Anolis sagrei: one gene and its partners. The protein of the gene in region 3 interacts with the protein of the main gene of each other region in a pairwise test. Links are inferred from orthologs where the notes say so. Each region holds a gene or a part of one and is shown on either strand. Other genes may lie near its edges.

The links.
Region 1: the proteins of TRIM69 (region 3) and IYD interact in binary tests that used the Homo sapiens proteins (3 or more experiments, as listed by UniProt). The two-hybrid records come from large-scale screens. The link is inferred for Anolis sagrei from reciprocal best matches to the Homo sapiens genes TRIM69 and IYD.
Region 2: the proteins of TRIM69 (region 3) and FKBP1B interact in binary tests that used the Homo sapiens proteins (3 or more experiments, as listed by UniProt). The two-hybrid records come from large-scale screens. The link is inferred for Anolis sagrei from reciprocal best matches to the Homo sapiens genes TRIM69 and FKBP1B.

What each region holds. Positions count from the first base shown.
Region 1 is NC_090021.1:73,065,836-73,073,033, forward strand, and holds the start of IYD (iodotyrosine deiodinase 1), read right to left. Parts: upstream 3,007-7,198; 5' UTR 2,839-3,006; coding exon 2,655-2,838; intron 1-2,654. UniProt on the Homo sapiens protein: Catalyzes the dehalogenation of halotyrosines such as 3-bromo-L-tyrosine, 3-chloro-L-tyrosine, 3-iodo-L-tyrosine and 3,5-diiodo-L-tyrosine.
Region 2 is NC_090021.1:139,422,428-139,429,344, reverse strand, and holds the start of FKBP1B (peptidyl-prolyl cis-trans isomerase FKBP1B), read right to left. Parts: upstream 3,007-6,917; 5' UTR 2,911-3,006; coding exon 2,874-2,910; intron 1-2,873. UniProt on the Homo sapiens protein: Has the potential to contribute to the immunosuppressive and toxic effects of FK506 and rapamycin. PPIases accelerate the folding of proteins. It catalyzes the cis-trans isomerization of proline imidic peptide bonds in oligopeptides.
Region 3 is NC_090029.1:25,772,419-25,779,759, reverse strand, and holds the start of TRIM69 (E3 ubiquitin-protein ligase TRIM69), read right to left. Parts: upstream 3,008-7,341; coding exon 2,522-3,007; intron 1,039-2,521; coding exon 943-1,038; intron 1-942.

The sequences.
Region 1 (7,198 bases), on a different chromosome or scaffold from region 3:
AGTCTGCAGTGCTCTTTGGATTTAGGTGAACTATAACTCCAAAACTCAAGGTCAATGCCCACCAAACCCTTCCAGTATTTCCTGTTGGTCATGGGAGTTCTGTGTGCCGAGTTTGGTTCAATTCCATCATTGGTGGAGTTCAGAATCCTCTTTGATTGTAGGTGAACTATACATCCCAGCAACTACAACTCCCAAATGAGAAAATCAATGCCACTCCCCCAACCCCACCAGTATTCAAATGTGGGCGTATCAGGGATTTGTGCCAAAATTTGGTCCAGTGAATGAAAATACATCATATATATCAGATATTTACATTATGATTCATAACAGTAGCAAAATTACAGTTATGAAGTAGCAACAGAAATAATGTTATGATTGGGGGGAATCACCACAACATGAGGAACTGTATTAAGGGGTCATGGCATTAGGAAGGTTGAGAAACACTGCTCTATAGCATTCCTGGCTGTAAGTCCTTGATTTTAATAGGATTTGTTGTTATACACAGTTTCACATGTTTCTTACAAAATTCAGGTAACTACCTTATTTTAAAACATTCTCCTTCCAAAAGCTATTTTAATCTAAAGGTAAATGTTTTAAAAGCATATTTGTGATTTGGATTGTTTCAATAAAAAAACTGAAGCCCTTTCTACACTGCCATATAATCCAGATTATCAAATCAGAAAATCCACATTATTTGCTTTGAACTGGATTATATGAGTCTACACTGCTATATAATCCAGTTCAAAGCAGATAATGTGGATTATCTGTCTTGATATTTTGGATTATGTGGCAATGTAGATGGGCCCTGAGAAGTGAATTGGAAAAAGAGGGTTTTATTTAGCATTGCCACATTCCCAGATTTCAAAATCTGCTTGTTTGCTTTTTGTTCTGGACACAAGGATAATTACTATTGCTGTTTAGAATCTATTTACATCCATTATGTGGCATACTTGTATGGAGTATGAAACTGACATATTTTCCATCTGGCATGCTCATAGGATATATTAGACTGATTTAGTGGTATTTTTCAAAGCAGAAAGCATAAACGTTTGTGCTTAAAAAAAACAGTTGTAGGAAAAACCCAATCCAGTTATAGCTGGTCATAAAATGTTATTCTTGATTCAGAATCCATCTGATCAGTACTAAATACCTTTTTAATGTGTGCCGCAACAAGATGCTAGCTACTGTGCATAATATGGTTTCAGATGCAGTTCTATACAGTGGGTCCTCCTGATCTAGGATTCCCTGAGGATACCAAAAGTTTTAAAATATTTTGAGCTGTGGATGATGGGACCCATGGATGCAGAATCTGTGGATATGAAGAGCCAGCTGTTCTCATTTACCCACTAAACTCTATGCTACTTTTGGCTCCTTCCACACAGCTACATAAAATCCACATTGAACAGGATCACAGTGCAGTGTGGACTCAGATAATCCAGTTCAAAGCAGAAAGTGGATTATCTGCCTTGATATTATGGGTTATATGGCTGTGTGGAAGACCCTCTGTTTTCATAGATATTTGTGGGATTGCAATATCAATATGGAATATAAATTTGCATCGGTGATAATTCTGCTCTCCATCCTTCCTTCCCCTTAATCCAGTAGTTCTCAACTTGTGGGTGCCCAGATGTTTTGGCCTTCACTTCCCAGGAATCCTAACAGCTGGTAAACTGGCTGGGATTTCTGGGAGTTGTAGGCCAAAACACCTGGGGACCCACAGGTTGAGAACCACTGCTTAACCTTCATCAGCATGCTTTCTTTTGCCAGTCAAACCCTTCACCACCTAGAGATACCAGATGTCCATATAGGAGGCACTATGGATAGGAAAGCTATCATTGCCATTTCGTTCTTCCCAGAACTTGGGAAAGTTACTTATACTGAGGACAATTCTCAGGCCCCTTCTACACTGCCCCTATATCCCAGGACTGGATCCCAGTTTATCAGTTTATCCCAGATTATCTGGCAGTGGAGAATCATATAATCCAGTTTAAAGCAGATAATCTGGGATCAGATCCTGGGCAGTGTAGAAGGGGCCTCAGAATCTCCTAACCAGCACGAGGTTTGCAAAACAAATACGTTTCCCAACCCCCATTTTTTCTCCTCTTGGAATCTGTGAGCTGTATATTTTAAAATCAAAAACACACTAGCCAGGATCTTGTTAATAACATCTATCAGTGTAAATTGTACTATACTTGTGGAGTGATTTTTTTTTTAGGGGACATGCACAACAGTCACATCCAACTCATGGCAGTGAAATAGAGTTGTACATGTGGGAGCATTGCACAGTAATACACATGCAATCAGTGTTTTGCCTCTATGCATTGTTTTTTCTATTGCATTTAGCATCTTTTGACAGACACAAACTTCGCAATTCATCCACATACATTGTGCTGTGTTGATATTCGGTACAGGGACAACATAATGTAACTCTGCCAAGCACGCATTGATGTTACGCTGAAGCAATGTATTTATGCTATGCTTCCCCACCATCACTGTTATTCATTTTCTTGTCAACTTCAAGAGATGGATTCCAACTACTTACAATTCCTCAACAACACCCTAAAATGTTTGAAAAGGCCATGTTTTTCATTTCCTCCCGAGACTAGAAAAACACAGGCATACAAATGCCAAACCCTTTTCACTTTTTTACATACCTTCTTCCTCAGGGTGAAGGTCAGTGCTGTCTTTTAAATCATCATCCACCCATGGACGAGACTCCACTTTCTTACTTGTTTGCCTTGGCTCATTCTTGGAGTTTGTCCTTCTGCCTTTGACTATTATTCCAATCAAGACGCAGATAATTGCCACAAAGACTGGAGTTAGAGAGGAGAATGCCATAGTCACGGGACTGCCAATGGAGGGCTATGCCAGACACATTCCCTAGAAAGAATGTTTCCTTTTAAAAATACTTGAGGGTAAATGTGAGACTGAGAGGCATAGAAGGGGTGGAACAATTTGTGTTGTGTTTTTTTTCTTTCAAAAATCAATGTTCAGTTCTTAGTAGCACTCAGCCATAAACCTTTCACACACATCACTTGCTCTTCAACCTCCAGCAGTTTCTGGATTATTTCCAAAGGGTAGGTCAGCTTATTTTATCGTTGAGCTATTGCACAATGTGACTCAATGCTGGTGCTCAGTAACTTTTCAGTGTATCAGAATTTCAAATTAGAGCATGAGTTGACGAGATTACAGCATGACCCCCATATCCACAGGCAGGGCCATAGCCAGAAAAAAAATTCGGGGAGGGTTGAAAATTTCAGGGGGGGGGGGGTTTTGAAAATTTCAGGGATGTTGAAACATGCCTCCTAGCTCACACTGAAGCAAAGAGCACATCAGGGGACAGAGCAGCCTTCAATAGCCTGCAGCTCCGCCCCTGTCAACCACCTCCACCAAGTCTGGCCTCTTTAATGAGAGCATTCAACACCCCCCCCCCCAACTTGGTTGCTTCACTGAATTGGCTATTGCTGCAAGTAATGACAATGTGAATAAATTGTCAATATTTGGTTGAGATAGTGCTTGCAGTTCTGGAGTAGTAGTTCGGGATAGTGCTTGCAGTTCTCTTAATTTTTTGCATCTCATAGACTTAGAATGGGAATTTGGTTAACTAGTTAAAATTCATGAGTAAACCAGGTTTTTTTTTAACCTGAAAAATTTCGAAGGGGGGGTTGAACCCCTAACCCCCCCCCTCCCTTCGGCTACAGGCCTGTCCACATAGTTTACATTTCTTAACCTACTGTGGAAACCATAGACAATTGTGAATCCAACTAAATTTCCACCAGAAGTTTCCATAGAGTCATTCTAGAGAAACTACAAAATTCCTGAGAGGTATCCTCTCCAGAAATGTATGAAGTACTCCAATGCAACTCTATAGTAAATACCATAGAGTTATTTGGAGGACCCAGAACATACCTAGAGGTGATACACTTTATTGGATGCATGTAGATGAAACCATGGGTACCAGTTATGTGGTTGTATTATACACTGATGCTGTAAAAGGGTTGTATTTGATGTTGACCATTAGCAGAGTTTTTCCAAACTGGCCAATTTTTGTTGACCCATTTTCGATTCCTTTTGCTACAGTCCTCAGAGGTCATGCTGGCAGGAAAATCTTGGGAAATATAGACCAAAACAGTAACTTCCCCAACTGTCTGAGGACCCATCCACACAGTACCTTTATCTCAGGAGCTCCCAGTTCAAAATAGAGGGTGGCTAGACGATGTCAACTGAAAATGCAGGCGCAATTGCTACAAAGCCAAAAAACCAAGATAAAGTAGTGCAGGAATATCCTGGTTCTGGCAGAAGATTCAGATTTTCAAATCTCTATGTGTCTCTGCACTCAGAAAATGCGGGAGTTTTTATGTTAGTTTGTTTCTCGGGTTATAAATATCGGTTCCTCATTGCTTCTATTGTAAAAACATGGGGAAAGTTAATTACACAGCAAAAACTTTATTTGTATGTTCCAAACTTTGATAAATGGGTGGACAACAATGTTCCTCTTGCCAGGACTAAGTTTTTGCCCTGTAATCAACTTTTGCCAGGTTTTTATGATGGAACCAATGGGGAACTGACATATATATCCCGGGAACAAAACTTGTATGAACAATGCACATATTTACATCAGTGCATTAACATTTTTTTTAATCAGCTGGAATTTCCAGTGGACATCCCACAGTAGCCATCTTGCAGGCTTCTAAATCCTGGAACACAGCAGCAAGTCCGAATGTTACAAGCACAAATCTTGGCATCTACAGGTCTGTGTGCGGACCTGCTCTCAGGTCCTTGTTTTTTTGCCCCATAGAAAATCCGCAATTTGGTGTTGTCTGGAAGTGCTCTGAGATTGCTTGTGCGAACTCATTGCCAGTAAATGTAGCAAGGTGGATCAGAGAAGTCAGGACACAATGAATCACCCGTTAATAATATCTGAAATCTCATCTCAAACATGTTGATCATTTTTTAAAAACAATCATGCTTGTGAACGTAAGTAGGATTCAGTCTAATGCCTCATACACATGACTTCCTTGCTAAGACACTTCTTTTTGCATTCCTGTTTACCAAGACCACCACAACCCTTCAAAATGCACTGGCGCTAAAATACTAAGTTACAAGTTCTGCTCATACTACGTATATTACAGAAATAAATAGACCCATAGTGTACAACTGAACTTGGTGTTTATTGCCCTAAAACTGAAAAGATAGTTGAACAAACTGCAATTTGTCACAGGTAGAACTGTATCTATTATCTAGTATCAGTTTGGTCCTGATTTGAAACATATTTGGCATTTGAATCCAGTGTTTAGTGGAATATACTTATCAGCCCATCACATACAAAGTAAATTGGCATGGTTGGCTTAACCCTTCTAGCATATCTGTCTGTTATGATCAATGATATTATTTACCCTGTGGAGTTAATTGCCGGCTATACAGCCATTATATATATAACTATAAACTCTTATGTATGCCTTGTCTGACATTTTATTACATAGATGTGAAATATGCAAATGTTTCGGTAAATTGATCTTTACATTTTAGACAAAGGGATAAATCCAGGTTTATTATGAAATGAATTGGACTTATGCTAGTTATAGCTAATCAAAATGCATTTTCCCCAACATGTCAACTTTACATATAACATCTAGACTACACCCTTTTTAAGTTTCTTGAAGACATGGTAAATAAGATATAAAAACAGGGAAGTAGCATGCGACCCATAGCTGATACATATATTTTAAAGTACGATTGGCCAGTTCAAGCATCCTCCCTCCCTCTCTCTCTCTCTAATATTTCGTTTAAGTCAGTTGTTATGAATTAGGAGAACAGCTATGGTTGGTATTTTAATCAAGACTTCAAAGCTATTTTTGGTCCCTTCATATTTTATATATTCTGAATCAGATCTTTTATTTCATGTACAGGGGCTTTTAGTTCATGTTGCTAACTTTCTGCCTTTTAAAAACCTGTATTTAGAAGATTAATCCATAAATATTAACCTCAGGAGTGAATAAAAAATTCATATTAATTTAAAAATGCCAACTTAAAGGCATTGCAGTAATGCTTTGCATTAAGATGCTAGTAGACACCATATGGAATTTAACAAAGGCAATGAATTTATGATTAGCCCAAAGGGAGCATTTGGGTTAATTAAACAAATTCAAAAGTCTATAATCAGGAGACCTAAAAATTCCACTTCCCAGATGGTTCCTCTCCAGGACTGATCTCTGTTCTGTCTTTCAAAAAAGAAGAGAGAAGGAGAAGAGAAACATTTCCCCTTCTCCAGGTCTTGGTCAATGACTTTGAAGTAGAACGGATATAATAACATGCTGAAATCATCCGTAACTGAGTGTTCGGAGCATTATTCTACCGTCGCTCAGTTATGGATGGCTTCAACATGTTATTATATCCATTCTTCCTCAAAGTAACTTTCCAAGAGCTGTTCTTCTACTGTTCAGCGTTCTGACCAACATAAGTCACAGTTTGATAAGAGGGAGGTGCTATCCTTAGGCCAACTACACTACAGCCCTTAGAGGGGCACCGTTTTATATGGATCATATCTTCGGAGGCTTTGTCCAACACCCAGGTCGTTACAGCATGGTGGCTCCTTTTTCTAGCTTAGTTTCAGTTTTATATTTACAGTCTCTTTCACAATTCCCAAAAAACTTGTAATTTTATGCAAAGCCATTAGAGGGTGTGAAAACTATTGTAAGGAACCACATTTTTAGCTCTGCATGTTTAATAGGTATGCACAATTTCATGCACACCACCAACTTCACAAGTGTGATAATTTCTGAGGCAATAAATACTTTGTCTCATAAGCTCCAAGAAGTGAAGAATGGGTGATCACAAAAACACCAAATGATCTCTATACCCTTACATGTTACCAACATAAATAAGCCTTTATTCAGATGCATTACGCATATTTTGTACAAGGAACTGGACCATGTAGAAAACCTGGTTGTGATGTTGACTATACTAAAATGTCAAGGGCTCGGTGGAGTACATTTTAAGAACTGCTGATATATATATATATATATATATATATATATATATATATATATATATATATATACTGGATTAAAGCTCTGAGTTGCAAGTTCGAATGCGGGGAGCAGCGTGAGATACCACTGTTAGCCCAAGCTTCTGCCAACCTAGCAATTCGAAAACATGCAAATGTGAGTAATCAATAGTACCGCTCCGCAGAGTCAGA
Region 2 (6,917 bases), on a different chromosome or scaffold from region 3:
GAACATCAGGAGAGAATGCTTCTAGAACATAGCCATATAGCCCAAAAAACCTACAGCAACTCAGTGATTCCAGCCATTAAAGCCTTTGACAATAAACTGAATGCTGTTTGGCTATCCAAAAGTATACAGGGAAGTCTCCAAGGATTTGATCCATGAGTGCGGCTACACTGTAAAATGAATGTAGTTTGGCACCACCTTAACAACCATAATGTAATGCTATAGAGTCACAGGAGTTGTAATATTACTATCTGCTCTATCAAAGAGTGCTGGTGACTCACCAAACTACAACTCCCATGCTTCCATAGCACTGAGCCATGAAGGTTTAAGTGGTGTCAAACTGCATTAATTCTACAGTGCAGATGTACCCTATGTGATACTTAACCAAGCATCCTATTTTTCAAATAAATGCCTTTTAGAAAGTCAATAGTTCTCCCCCACTATTATTCCCTGATTAGTATTAACAGGTATGCCGCCTCTGAACCTGGATGAGTTACATCCCAATTGAGGATACAAGCTAGCAATATTTTTTTTGTATTAAAACTCTCTGAGAAGTAGCTAAAACGCCAACAATTGTATTCAGGAATCACAGGTTTTGCATTCAAGCCAGGGTCGCATGACTATTTAAAAAGGAGCAAAAAAAGCAATGATGATGCTTCCTCTGTGCCAGGGACTGGGTTAAATCCAGCATGGTGCTCTCCACTTTGGAATCCGACCAAGATATTCTAAAATTAAGCCACACACATCAGGAAAATTCTGCCATCATCAACAAGGTGGCTGCTTCCCGTGAAAGAGGCGACAAGAAGCGGGCTGAAATAGCCAGTCACTATGCGTCAGCATGGATTTTTGCATCCACCGTTGCCACCAGACATTTATCCCATCATCAAGATTATGGTTCCTGCAAAAGTTCTCCTGCTTCACGTTATTGTGGTTGGATGTGTGCCGGCTCCGTCTGCAGAACAGTGGAAGCAGGGAAGCGCAGAGTGGACTGTCATTTGCTCCTGCTACTAAATCAATTCACCCTGCTTGGATTTATGCAGCTGTCAGCAAATGCCATTTAAATATCCCTAATCGCTGGCGGCTGCCAGAAAAGCAAGAGGGCTGCAGCCCCTTCATCCTGCAGAGCCCTCCAGGGCTTTTCCACTCATTTAGATCACTGACTTTGGATAGAGACTTGCACCTCCGGCCTCCCATTTTTCCTATTTATATTAGGGATATGCAAGGGTTCTTGTGTTTACCACCTTTGCGCTTTGGCACACCTCCATTCCTGATCCATTCCCAACTCTGGGGAGTCACTAAGCCCAGGCTCCTTCTACACTGCCATATAATCCTGATTATCAATTCAGATAATCCACAGTATCTTCTTTGAACTAGATTATGAGTCTACACTGCCATATACCTCGAAGAATCCCACACCTTGTGTGACTGTGGAGCAGAACAGACAACTCCGCATCTGTATGCTTGTCCATGGTGCCCTGCTTCACGTACAGAGGAGGAATTGTTGGAGGCTACAGACAATGCCGTTGCTGTTGACTGTTTTTGATCAAAAGATATTTAGCCACCTGCGTGCCTTCCGTTTTATCAGTTTTATACTAATTTACTTTTGATACCAAATAAATAACTGCCATATAATTCAGTTCAAAACAAATAAACTGGATTTTATATGGCAGTGTAGAAGGGTCCCCAGTCATCCCCACAACACTTCCCCCCCCCCCAAAAAAAAACACCATGAAGGAACTAGGTCCTTTTTTGTCAATTGCAGAAAAGTTTGGGTGCATCTGCACTGTAGAACTGATGCAGTTTGATACCCATTCGACCATAATGGATCAGTGCTATGTAATTGTGGGAGTTGTAGTCTCATGAAGCACCAGCATCCTTTGGCACTGAAGTCTAAAGACCTTGGGAAACTACAATCCCCCAGATTCCACAGCACTGTGGATTGTAGTTTCCCAAGGTCTTGAGCCTTCTGTGCCAAAGGGTGCTGGTGCCTTGAGAGACTACAATTACCAGAATTACATAGAACTGATCTATGACAGTTGGTAATCTAGGTGGTATGAAACTGCATCAATTCTACAGTGCAGCTGCACCATCAATGCGCTTGGCAAAGGTTTGAAAAGCAGACACAGACCCCTTCTATACTGCCATCTAACCCAGATTATCAAAGCAGATGATCCACCTAATCTGCTTTGAACTGGATTATCTGAGTCTACACTGCCATATAATACAGATTATCAAATCAGATAATTCACATTATCTCCTTTGAATGGATTACCTGAGTCTACACTGCCATATAATCCAGAATATCAAATCAGATAATCCACATTATCTGCTTTGAATAGATTACCTGAGTCTACACTGCCATATAATCCTGAATATCAAATCAGATAATCCACATTATCTGCTTTGAATGGATTACCTGAGTCTAGCCATATAATCCAGAATATCAAATCTGATAATCTACATTGTCTGCTTTGAAATGGATTATCTGAGTCTACACTGCCATATAATCCTGATTATCAAATCAGATAATCCATATTATCTGCTCTGAATTGGATTACCTGAGTCTACACTGCCATATAATGTCAAATCCGATAATCTACATGATCTGCTTTGAAACTGATTACCTGAGTCTACACTGGCATATAATCCGGTTTAAAGCAGATAACCTGGATTTTAAGTGGCAGTGTATTGGGGCCACACACAGCCTCAAGGAGCTTTTGCTGCAGAACTGCCCTTGCAAAGACAAGCCTCCCCATCAGATTTGAAAGGGGGCGCGCATGCGCAGAGGTCTCCTTGTCCCCCCAAAGCCACAGCACCCTCTCCCCCCAACCCCAAAGAGCCTCCCCAGCCAAAGCAATGGGAGCTGGGCCCCATACCGTCTCCTGGGGTGATGGTCTCCACGTCCACCCCCATGATGGCTGCAGCAGCGCTCCAGGGGATATGCGCCTTCTGCCTTTGGCTCCCAGCTTCTCAGGAGCAGAGCCCCCTTTACAAGCCCATTGCAACCAAGGTGTCCGTCAGCGGCGCGGCCCAATGAGAATGCCAGGAGGAGGCGCTCTCCCGGCGCTGGCGTCCAATCGCAAGGCAGGGTTCCCGCAGAGGGTGGGAAGAGAACGCCCCGCTGGAGTAAAGAGAAGCAAAGGGGCGGGCAGGCAAAAGCGCAGTCAGTGAGTGAGTGAGTGAGTTCCTTGTGCATTAGACATAAGACAGAGAAGAGGCTGCAACAGAATGCAGTTTACCGTTTAAACTTTCAACTCATAAGCAATACACCTGTATGCTGAATACATGAAGTTGTAAGTAAACCAGCTATGTTATTTTAACGAAAACTACTTATTTTTGTCTCTTGAGAGGATGATTTAAAACCAAATATATTTTATGAGAGTAGATTTTTTTGGGCAACTGAAACAACACTTCTGAAGATCTGCTATATATTTTATCTTTATCCCTAACAGTTCAAAGAGATAACCAGGTATATCAGTCTAACAACTGAGAAACCTAATTGCCTTGCATGAATACTGGTGGATATTTTCTACTAAAGAGAAGATTTAGCTCTTCTCAGGGAGATAATAATTTACAAAAGGGTTATGATTATTCCAAATGGTAGTGAATGCCAATTAATTATTATTTTATTATTTGCCTCATTAATATCCCGCCCTTCTCACCCCAAAGGGGACTAATGGCGGCTCACAACACAGGCACAATTCGATGCCTTGAATACATATAAAAATAAAACAACGTATACTTTAAAATCACAGGACTGGCACAACCTGGGGATCACAACCAGACACAGTGAAGACATCTGCCCTTGTGCTATGCTACTCTGCTGCTGAGTATACATGCCCGGTGTGGAACACATCTCACCACACTAAAACGGTGGTTGTGGCTCTTAATGAGACATGCCGCATTATCACGGGATGTCTGCACCCTACACCACTGGAGAAATTACTGTCTTGCTGGTATTTCACCATCTGACATCCACCACGAAGTAGCAGCCAATAGTGAAAGGACCAAGGCAGTGACATCTCCAGCTCATCCCCTGTTTGGGTATCAGCCAGCACGTCAGCGACTTAAATCAAGAAATAGTTTTCTAAGATCTACAGAGACACTCGCTGGAACACCCCAGCAAGCAAGAGTCCAAAAGTGGCAGGCAACCCAGAACCTCAATCCATGGGTGATACCAGATGAGAGACTGCCCCCTGGGCACACAGAAGACTGGGCGACTTGGAAGGCACTGAATAGACTGCGCTCTGGCACCACGAGATGCAAAGCCAACCTCAAGAAATGGGGCTACAAAGTGGAATCCTCGACATGCGAGTGTGGAGAAGAGCAAACCACTGACCACCTGCTGCAATGCACCCTGAGCCCTGCTACATGCACAAAGGAGGACCTCCTTGCGGCAACACCAGAGGCACTCCAAGTGGCCAGATACTGGTCAAAGGACATTTAAGCAACTACCAAGCTTGCAAATTCTGTGTTCTGTCTGTGTGTTTGTTTTGTTTTTGTTAAAAATGTCTGATTGCTGATGACATGATAAATAAATACAGAATTAAAACATATCGATTAAAATCACACAATCCAAAAACATATGCCGGGAACCATTCCAATTGCCATTTGTATTGTTCATTGTTGCACTGAGAAATCAATCGCTGTGCTGAAAATCACAGTGCAAACGCTTGGTCATGCTTCCAAAAGGCTTTGGAGATTCTGGTTTTCCAAAAGGTTAGGATCTCAAAGGAGCCCCCGGTGGCACAGTGGGTTAAACTGCTGAGCTGCTAAACTTGTTGACCGAAAGGTCGCAGGTTCAAATCCGGGGGGGGGGGGTGAGCTTCCGCTGTCAGCCCCAGCTTTTGCCAACCAAGCAGTTCGAAAACATGCAAATGTGAGTAGATCAATAGGTGCTGCTCCAGCAGGAAGGTAACTGCGCTCCATGCAGTCATTCTGGCCACATCACCTTGGAGGTGTCTATGAACAACGCCGGCTCTTCGGCTTAGAAATGGAGATGAGCACCAACCCCCAAAGTCAGACCTGACAGGACTTAATGTCAGGGGAAAACCTTTACCTATGATCTCAAAGGTCATGCTTTTCCCAAATGTTTTGCCTGCACCTGTGCCTGGCGTCTTCAGAGGAGCTTCAGGTGAAACGTTAGGAGAAAATGCTGCCAGAACACAGCTATGCAGCCCGGAAACCACATAACACTCCAGTTTCCAGACAGAAGTCTACTTTTCACAAGGAGTGGCACTTTTATGCAACGCTCCACTGTCTTCTTTAGGGCACTCTGTGGTAAGAAAAATAATAATGGATTTATTATTATTATTACTACTATTATTATTTGGTCATGTCAGGAGCCACTTGAGTAACTGCAAGTTGCTTCTGGTGTGAGCAAGTTGGTCGTCTGCAAGGACATTGCCCAGGGGACGCCCGGATGTTTTGATGTTTTATCATCCTTGTGGGAGACTTCTCTCGTGTCCTCGCATGAGGAGCTGGAGCTGCTAGAGGGAGTTCATCCACGTTCTCCCTGGATTCGAACCTGCGACCTGTCGATCATCAGTCCTGCCGGCACAGGAGTTTAACCCACTGCGCCATCCATAATAATGGATGAAACAATGAGAAACGCTCGTGAAGGCTGCACATTGAAGACAATGGTATCTGGACCTCAAGGAGAGGTTGATGAATGAGGTAGAGTGATAAGAAAAACTGCATCTGGAAGCACCTTCCCATCCCCCAAAGGCCCTTCTTGCATTTCCAACCCTATCAGGTTCAGACAGGGCTGTGATAATGAGAAACGCAGCTGCGTCTCCGCTTGCCCTGATCACGATCCTTTCACACTTCTACTCATTTTGATTCTTAAATGTGATGAAATGCCAACTCCATGCTTGTTTTAAAAAATCTGTCTTGGAATAGGAAGAAGGGAGTCTAGAAATGCAGCCCCTGAACTGCTCCCTAAGTTGTATCCTTCGCCATCCCACTGTTGTGTATGGAAGAGAAGACTGTTTGTAAAGCCTTCCTTTAAAAGGTTCTTGGGTGAAATGAGCCGCCACGGCACATGGATCTCTAAAGCCAGTGGGCTTCCTGTAGCAATCCAGATATTACTGGACTTCAAATTTAACATTTTCAGAGATTTTATGATTTTGGAAAGGCATGACCTTGTTAGAAGTCACATCCTTTTGAAAAACAATGCCATAACCTCTTGGTAAAAAGCATGAACACCTGGAATATTGTGTCCAGTTCTGGGCACCACAATTCAAGAGAGATATTGACAAGCTGGAATGTGTCCAGAGGAGGGCGACTAAAATGATCAAGGGTCTGGAGAACAAGACTTATGAGGAGCGGCTTAAGGAGCTGGGCATATTTAGCCTGAAGAAGAGAAGGCTGAGAGGAGATATGATAGCCATGTATAAATATGTGAGAGGAAGTCACAGGGAGGAGGGAGCAAGCTTGTTTTCTGCTGCCCTGGAGACTAGGACACGGAACAATGACTTCAAACTACAAGAAAGGAGATTACATTTGAACTGTGAGAGCCGTTCAGCAGTGGAACTCTCTGCCCCGGAGTGTGGTGGAGGCTCCTTCTTTGGAAGCTTTTAAACAGAGGCTGGATGGCCATCTGTCAGGGGTGCTTTGAATGCAATATTCCTGCTTCTTGGCAGGGGGTTGGACTGGATGGCCCATGAGGTCTCTTCCAACTCTTATGCTTCTATGATTCTATGATTAGAGTCATAACCTTTTGGAAAAATGGCATTCACCAGCATTGTGCAAGGCAACTAGGTTCCTTGGCTGTTTAACTGATGTCCTAAATATCTCTTTGAGCTGTTAGGAATAAAGATATGCCAATGCACACACACGGACATGCTACCCAAGTTACATGCCTCCCAAATATTTGGAGGGAGAAGAGTATCTGCTATATATTTCTTTGTCTTCTTTGA
Region 3 (7,341 bases):
GAAGCCATTGTTCCATTGTGTCCTAGTCTCCAAAGCAGCAGAAAACAAACTTGCTCCCTCCTCCCTATGACTTCCCCTCACATCTTGATCCATGGCTATCATGTCTCCTTTCAGTCTTCTCTTCTTCAGGCTAAACATGCCCAGCTCTTTAAGCCGCTCCTCATGGGGCTTGTTCTCCAGACCCTTGATCATTTCAGTCGCCCTCCTCTGGACACATTCCAGCTTGTCAATATCTCTCTTCAATTGGGGTGCCCAGAACTGGACACAGTGTGATTCCAGGTGTGGTCTAACCAAGGCAGAATAGAGGGGTATCATGACTTCCCTAGATCTAGACACTATACTCCTATTGGTGCAGGCCAAAATCCAGTTGGCTTTTTTTGCCACCGCATCACATTGTTGGCTCATGTTTAACTTGTTGTCCACGAGGACTCCAATATCTTTTTCACACATACTGCTTTTGAGCCACATGTCCCTCTTTCTGTATCTTTGCATTTCATTCATGATACTGCATGGCAGAAATTGCTTTCTAAAGTTTTCTGAATAATAATTCAGGAGCCGAAAATGGGGAAATACAATTTTTGTTTACTCAACACACCTTGAAGATTGGTTTTCAGTGGGTTTAGGCCAACATTTGGTCCCTCTGATGTTTTGGACTTCAACTCTCAGAAGTCCCAGCCAGCATACCAGCTGTTAGGAATCGTGGGAGCTGAAGTCCAAAACACCTGGAGGACTAAAGATTGGGAATCACTGGTTTAGGGTAATGTCATGTGGTGGTAAGTTGGTTTTTTTTTTTAATCTAGGGAGCCAACATCTGACAGCTTCAGGTGATAATGTCCCCAGTGTGTTCCTTTGCTTCAGAAGTACAAAACACAAGTTTCCATCACCTAAAATACTCAACAGTAAGATATTCAAGTAGAGATCTACTGAATCAATGATACTCACTTTGTGGTTACTGATCTTTTCTTCCTGGGCATTCTTCAACACCTCCAACTTCACCAAGATGGATCTGAGCTGAATTCTCATCATGAGCAACTTTTCCTGTGGGTAAATAGTCACAAAGAATGTTATAGAATAGGTAAGTCATCACACCTAAGTAAAATAGTGACATCAACATTTTCAATTTGGACATTCAATGAATAATTCTATATTTAACTTCTGTCAATTTTATATGTTTGGTTTTAAATATGTTATTGTATTTTTAATGTTTTCAATGTTGATATACTGTATTTTATGTGTGGTGTGGCATCATGTGTGCTATATATAAGACGTACCAAGTCCCTATGGAAGATGGTGGCATGGTATAAATAAAATATTATTATTATCAATAATAATAATAATAATAATAATAATAATTCTATTACATTTTCTCTCTATCTATCTATCTATCTATCTATACTGCTGATAGATAGATAGATAGATAGATAGATAGATAGATAGATAGATAGGCATTCTAGAGAATCTTTATTAGGTGGATGCTTTCCTGGTGTTTTTTTGGCCTAGGATACATTCATAATAATAATAATAATAATAATAATAATAATAATAATAATTCCATTACTCTATCTATCTATCTATACTGCTTATATACCTTGGAAATTCATACTTGGCCATGGTGGTCCATGCTCTTGTCACATCTAGGTTAGATTACTGCAACGCCCTCTACGTGTGGTTGCCTTTGAAGACTGCTCGGAAGCTTCAAATAGTCCAGTGAGAGGCAGCCAGGCTAATAACTGGGGCGGCGTACAGGGAGCACACAACTCCCATGTTACACCAGCTCCACTGGCTGCCAGTTTGCTACTGGGCACAATTCAAAGTGCTGGCTTTGGCCTATAAAGCCCTAAATGGCCCCGGCCATTTACCTATCCGAATGCATCTCCCCCTATGAAACACCACAGAGATTAAGATCTTCTGGGGAGGCCCTGCTCTCGGTCCCACCACCATCACAGGCGCGTTTGGCAAGGACGAGAGACAGGGCCTTCTCAGTGATTTTTTTAATACCGGTAGCCAGATTTTGTTCATTTTCATGGTTTCCTCCTTAACAAAATCTGGCTACCAGTATTAAAAAACTCTAAAATTAAAACAGCAAAACAGCAGAGGGAAAACAATCAGGCACATCTAATCACCTCTCAACAAAAGATTGCTCCAGGCACTGCCAGGCCATCAAAAGCTAATCAAGGTGGTCAGTTGAAACATCCACATCTAGCTCCAACAGACAAGAGTCCTTTGTCCCACCCTGGTCATTCCACCGACATATAAACCAATTTTCCTCGTTCCAACAGTCCTCACTACCTCTGAGGTAGATGCAGGCGAAACGTCAGGAGAGAATGCCTCTAAAACATGGCCATATAGCCCGAAAAAGCTACAACAACCCAATTTTTTGGGTGATGGTCACTCCTTGGGTGAGTAGGTGTCTTGTGGCCAAATATGGCAGTGATTCGTTCAGTGGTCTTTGAGTTATGTTAATTCCACAAACGAACATTACATTTTTATTTATATAGACTGGTGATGGCATGAGAGTTACCGTAAAGATCTGTACAGCATCTGGAATGAGAAGGAACTGTGTGCATTGCTCTTTGGGTAGCAGAGTTTCCCGGCAGGTGAAGCAGGCGAGTTTTTCTTGCGTCTTCCAGTAGAGAGTCATCGGCTCGCTGTGTTCGATGCACTTCTGTTGCAGGCACCCCACGTGGTAGGTCTTAATCCTATCCGCCATCTTCTCCAGGGCGGTGTTCGAGATGTACTTTCGATCGGGGACACTCGCGTGGCATTGTGGACAGAAGATGCCCTTTTTCTTCCATAAGTCTTCTAGGCAATCCCTACAGAAGTTATGGCCACAGGACAGGATAACCGGGTTCTTGAACAGTTCTAGACACACACCGCAGGACAATTCCTTGGTGAAATCATCCGCATGCAGCTCCCATGACGTATCGGAAGGACCCTGGAAGATTGGTCTTTCGTGGATTGAAACAAAGGAGGACGTGGAAGGGTTTTTGCTGGTAGAGGTGGACATGGTCTCAGAAAGAAAATGCTTAAAGTTGCTGCTCTGTCAAGGGGAAAAAAGGAGTGGAATTAAAGTTCAATCTTTATGTCAATGTAGAAGTGTTTTTCATAACTTTGAAATATACGAGGGTTGAATGAAAAGTAATGCTTCCACCTTCATAACTCCTCAACAGATGGCAGTACTGCTATGCAGCAGGTACTGGCTTGTTCAGTAGACTCTCCTCTACAGTTCCATTTTGGCAGGAAGCCTTAGCAGAAAAGTAATGGCTCCACCTTCGTAATTCCTCAACAGATGGCAGTTCTGCTATGCGGCAGGTACTGGCTTGTTCAGTAGACTCTCCTCTACAGTTCCATTTTGGTGGAAAGCCTTAGCATTGAACAGTTGTGTTGTTAAAGTGCTAAGTATGGAACCCTGCGCAGACGGTCGGTCAATGCAACTTAAGCAACGTGCAGTCATTGAAGGTGTCACCCCACAGGAGATTCATCTGAGAATGCAAGTTGTTTATGGTGACTGTGTTGATGTGAGTATTGTGTGTCACTGGGCAAGTAAGTTTGAAGATGTTGAGGTGGCATCTTCTGCTGTCAAGAATTCAATGCCTACACGTTGCTTAAGTCATATTTACCGACTGTCTGCGCAGGGTTCCATACTTCGCACTTTAACAACACAACTGTTCAATGCTAAGGCTTCCTGTCAAAATGGAACTGTAGAGGAGAGTCTACTGAACAAACCAATACCTGCCGCATACCAGTACTGCCATCTGTTGAGGAGTTATGAAGGTGGAGGCATTAATTTTCATTCAACCCTCGTAATAATGATTGATACTCATGTAAAGAAATTGTAGACAGGAGTATGGCTGCCGTATGTCGTTTGACATATGGAGCCACGTTTGCGCAATGAGTTAAGCCCTTGTGCTGGCTGAACTGCTAGTCTGAAGGTCGGCGGTTTGAATCTGTGAGACAGGGTGAGCACCCATCTATCAGCTCTACCTTCCCATGCGAGGACATGGGACTATCTTAAAACTATTTCTTACCTCTCCCCAGTTTATGTATTTAATTGCAAATCCATATGAAGATTTTGATGTGATACAGAACAATAATAACACATGCAATTTTTTTTTAAATCATGTAAGAAACAAAGAGCAGCTATCTATAATCTATATGGCAAGGTAGAAAATACATTAAGTAAGCTTACAAAATAAGTCATGAAAATTGGGAACTGCCATTTGTCTATTGATAGGTAACTATTGCTTGGGGCTGAGATATGCTAGAAGTACTATTCTCATGTTCTATGGTGGGTGGGAAAGAGCCTAAAGACACCCCAGACAATTAAGTATCTGTCCTGGATTTGAATTAAAGAGATTGTCAGCCATCTATCTGGGCATTTGGCATTAATATTACATTGGAAAAGTGTGGCCAGAATTATTAGCATCAGAAATGAGCTAGATGCTAATCCTGGTTTAGACCGAGTTCAGCAACATCTATATAAATAAAAATGTAATGTTTGTTTGTGGGATTAACATAACTCAAAAACCACTAGATGAATTGACATGAAATTTGGACACTAAACCCCTAATGGACCAATGAGTGACCATCACTCATAACCCCCCTCCCCAAAGAAAACCAGCAGCAGAAAGGACTTAAAAATCAAAACAAGCTAAATGACAAAAAGCTAAATGACAATGCAGAAAAAAAGGGAAGGAAGAGGGAGGGAAGGAAGAAAGGGGAGAAAGGGGAGAAAGAAAGAAAGAAAGAAAGAAAGAAAGAAAGAAAGAAAGAAAGAAAGAAAGAAAGGGAGATAGAGAAGGAAAGAGGGAAAGAAGGAGCGAAAGAGGGAGGGAAGGAAAGAAGGGAAGAGAGAAGGAAGGATGGAAACAAAGCGAAGGAAGGAAGGAAAGAGGTAGAGAAGGAAGGAGAGAAGGAAAGAAGAAAAAGGAAGAAAGGAGACAGGGAAAGAGAAGGAAGGATGGAAAAAGTGAAGGAAGGAAAGAGGTAAAGGAGGAAGGAGAGAAGGAAAGAAGAAAGAGGAAGGAGGGAAAGAGAAGGAAGGATGGAAACAAAGCAAAGGAAGGAAAGAAAGAAGTAGAGACGGAAGGAGAGAAGAAAAGAAGAAAAAGGAAGGAAAGAGAGAAAGAGAAGGAAGGATGGAAACAAAGCGAAGGAAGGAAAGAAGGGAAGGAATAGAGAAGGAAAGAAGGAAAGAGAGAAGGATGGATGGAAACAAAACAAAGGAAGGAAGAAAAGAGGTAAAGAAGGAAGGAGAGAAGGAAAGAAGAAAAAGGAAGGAAAGAGGGAGCAAAGGAAGGAGAGAAAGGAGGAGGGAAGGAAAGGATGAAAGAGAGAAGGAAGGCTGGAAACAAAGCAAAAGAAGGAAAGAGGTAAAGAAGAAAGGAGGAAAAGGGGGAGAGAAAGAAGGAGGGAAGGAAAGAAGGAAAGAGAGAAGGAAGTATGGAAACAAAGCGAAGGAGAGAAGGAAATAGGTAGAGAAGGAAGGAGAGAAGGAAAGAAGAAAAGGAAGGAAGGAAAGAGGGAATGAAGGAAGGAGAGAAAGAGGGTACAGCATGGTGGGTACAGCTAGTTATTAAATATTTTCATAGTAAGGCTGAGAGTGCTCCTCTTTTGCGTTCCTGTTTATTTCCCTGTTCATTTCTTACTGACTCACCTTTTATTTTTGAGCTAGCCTTGTCCAAGCAAGTCCTTATCCTTTTCTAGACGGTCCTTTTCCCCCCCTAGTCCATTTCTTACAGATTCACCTCTGTTTTTGAGCTAACCTTGTCCAAGCTGCTCCTTCCAGCTCTGCCTTTCTATTAGGCAGCTTTAGAATCCTATGACATAACTGCCACTGGCCAATTGTTTTCCTGAAGGTTCTACCTGGCTTCCAATGATTCTTTTCCGCTCTTTCTCTGAATGACAAAGATCTTGAAGTGAGGCCTCAATTCACATCTCAGGCCAATGAATGACCATCACTAATTAAAACACTGAAAAACACAGCAGAAGGGACTAAAAAGCAAAAAATCCCATAAAAATACATTACAACACATGCGCAAAACCACACATACACTTTATTTCCTTACTTACTTAGGCGATCCCTCGTTGTCTGAGGATGATGGTCCTCCAGGGTCAGTGTGTAGTATGCCGTGGATCTGTACGTGACTGTGGAGTCCTATTCTTGATCTGCATCTTCTCCTGCAGTGAGGGCATCAGTTTCCAGGTGACAGGCGGTCTCGGTCAGGGTTGGCTTGATGCACCTTCCTCTTGGCATGTTTCTCTCCTTCACCCTCTATTCTTCCCTATTCAAATTCTGCAGCACTGCTGGTCACAGCTGACCTCCAGCTGGAGCGCTCAAGGGCCAGGGCTTCCCAGTTCTCAGTGTCTATGCCAGAGTTTTTGAGGTTAGCTTTGAGCCCTTCTTTCAATCTCTTTTCCTGCCCGTCAACATTCCATTTTCCGTTCTTGAAGAGTAGAGCTGCTTTGGGAGACGGTGGTCAGGCGTCCAGACAACGTGGCCAGTCCAGCGGAGTTGATGGCGGAGGACCATCGCTTCAGTGCAGGTGGTCTTTGCTTCTTCCAGCATGCTGACATTTGTCTGCTTGTCTTTCCAAGAGATTTGCAGGATTTTCTGGAGCAACGCTGATGGAATCATTCCAGGAGTTGCATGTGACATCTGTAGACAGTCCACGTCTCACAGGCACACGCACACACATACACACATATACACACATATATATACATATACACAAATATATACACATATATACACACACAAAACACATATACACAGACTGGGCCACAGCAATGTGTGGCAGGGGACGGCTAGTTTGTAATAAGATTTGATTGACTCTGTTGTTGTTGTTTATTTGTTCAGTCGCTTCCGACTCTTTGTGACCTCCTGGCCCAGACCAGGCCAGTGCTCCCTGTTGGCCGTCACCTCCCCCAGCTCCGTCAGAGTCAAGCCAGTCACTTCAAGGATGCCATCCCTCCATCTTGTCCTGGGTAGGCCCGTCTTCCTTTTTCCTTCCATTTTCCCCAGCATCATTCCCTTCTCTAAGCTTTCCTGTCTTCTCATGATGTGGCCAAAGGACTTCATCTTTGCCTCTACTATCCTTCCCTCCAGTTAGCAGTCTGGCTTTATTTCCTGGAGTATGGACTGGTTGGATCTTCTTGCGGTCCAAGGCACTCTCAGAATTTTCCTCCAACACCACAGTTCAAAAGCATCTCTCTTCCTTTGCTCAGCCATCCTTGTGGTCCAGCTCTCAAATCCATAGGTAACTACGGGGAATACCATTGCTTTAAATATGCCGATCTTTGTTGCCAGTGTGATGTCTCTACACTATTTTATTGAGATTG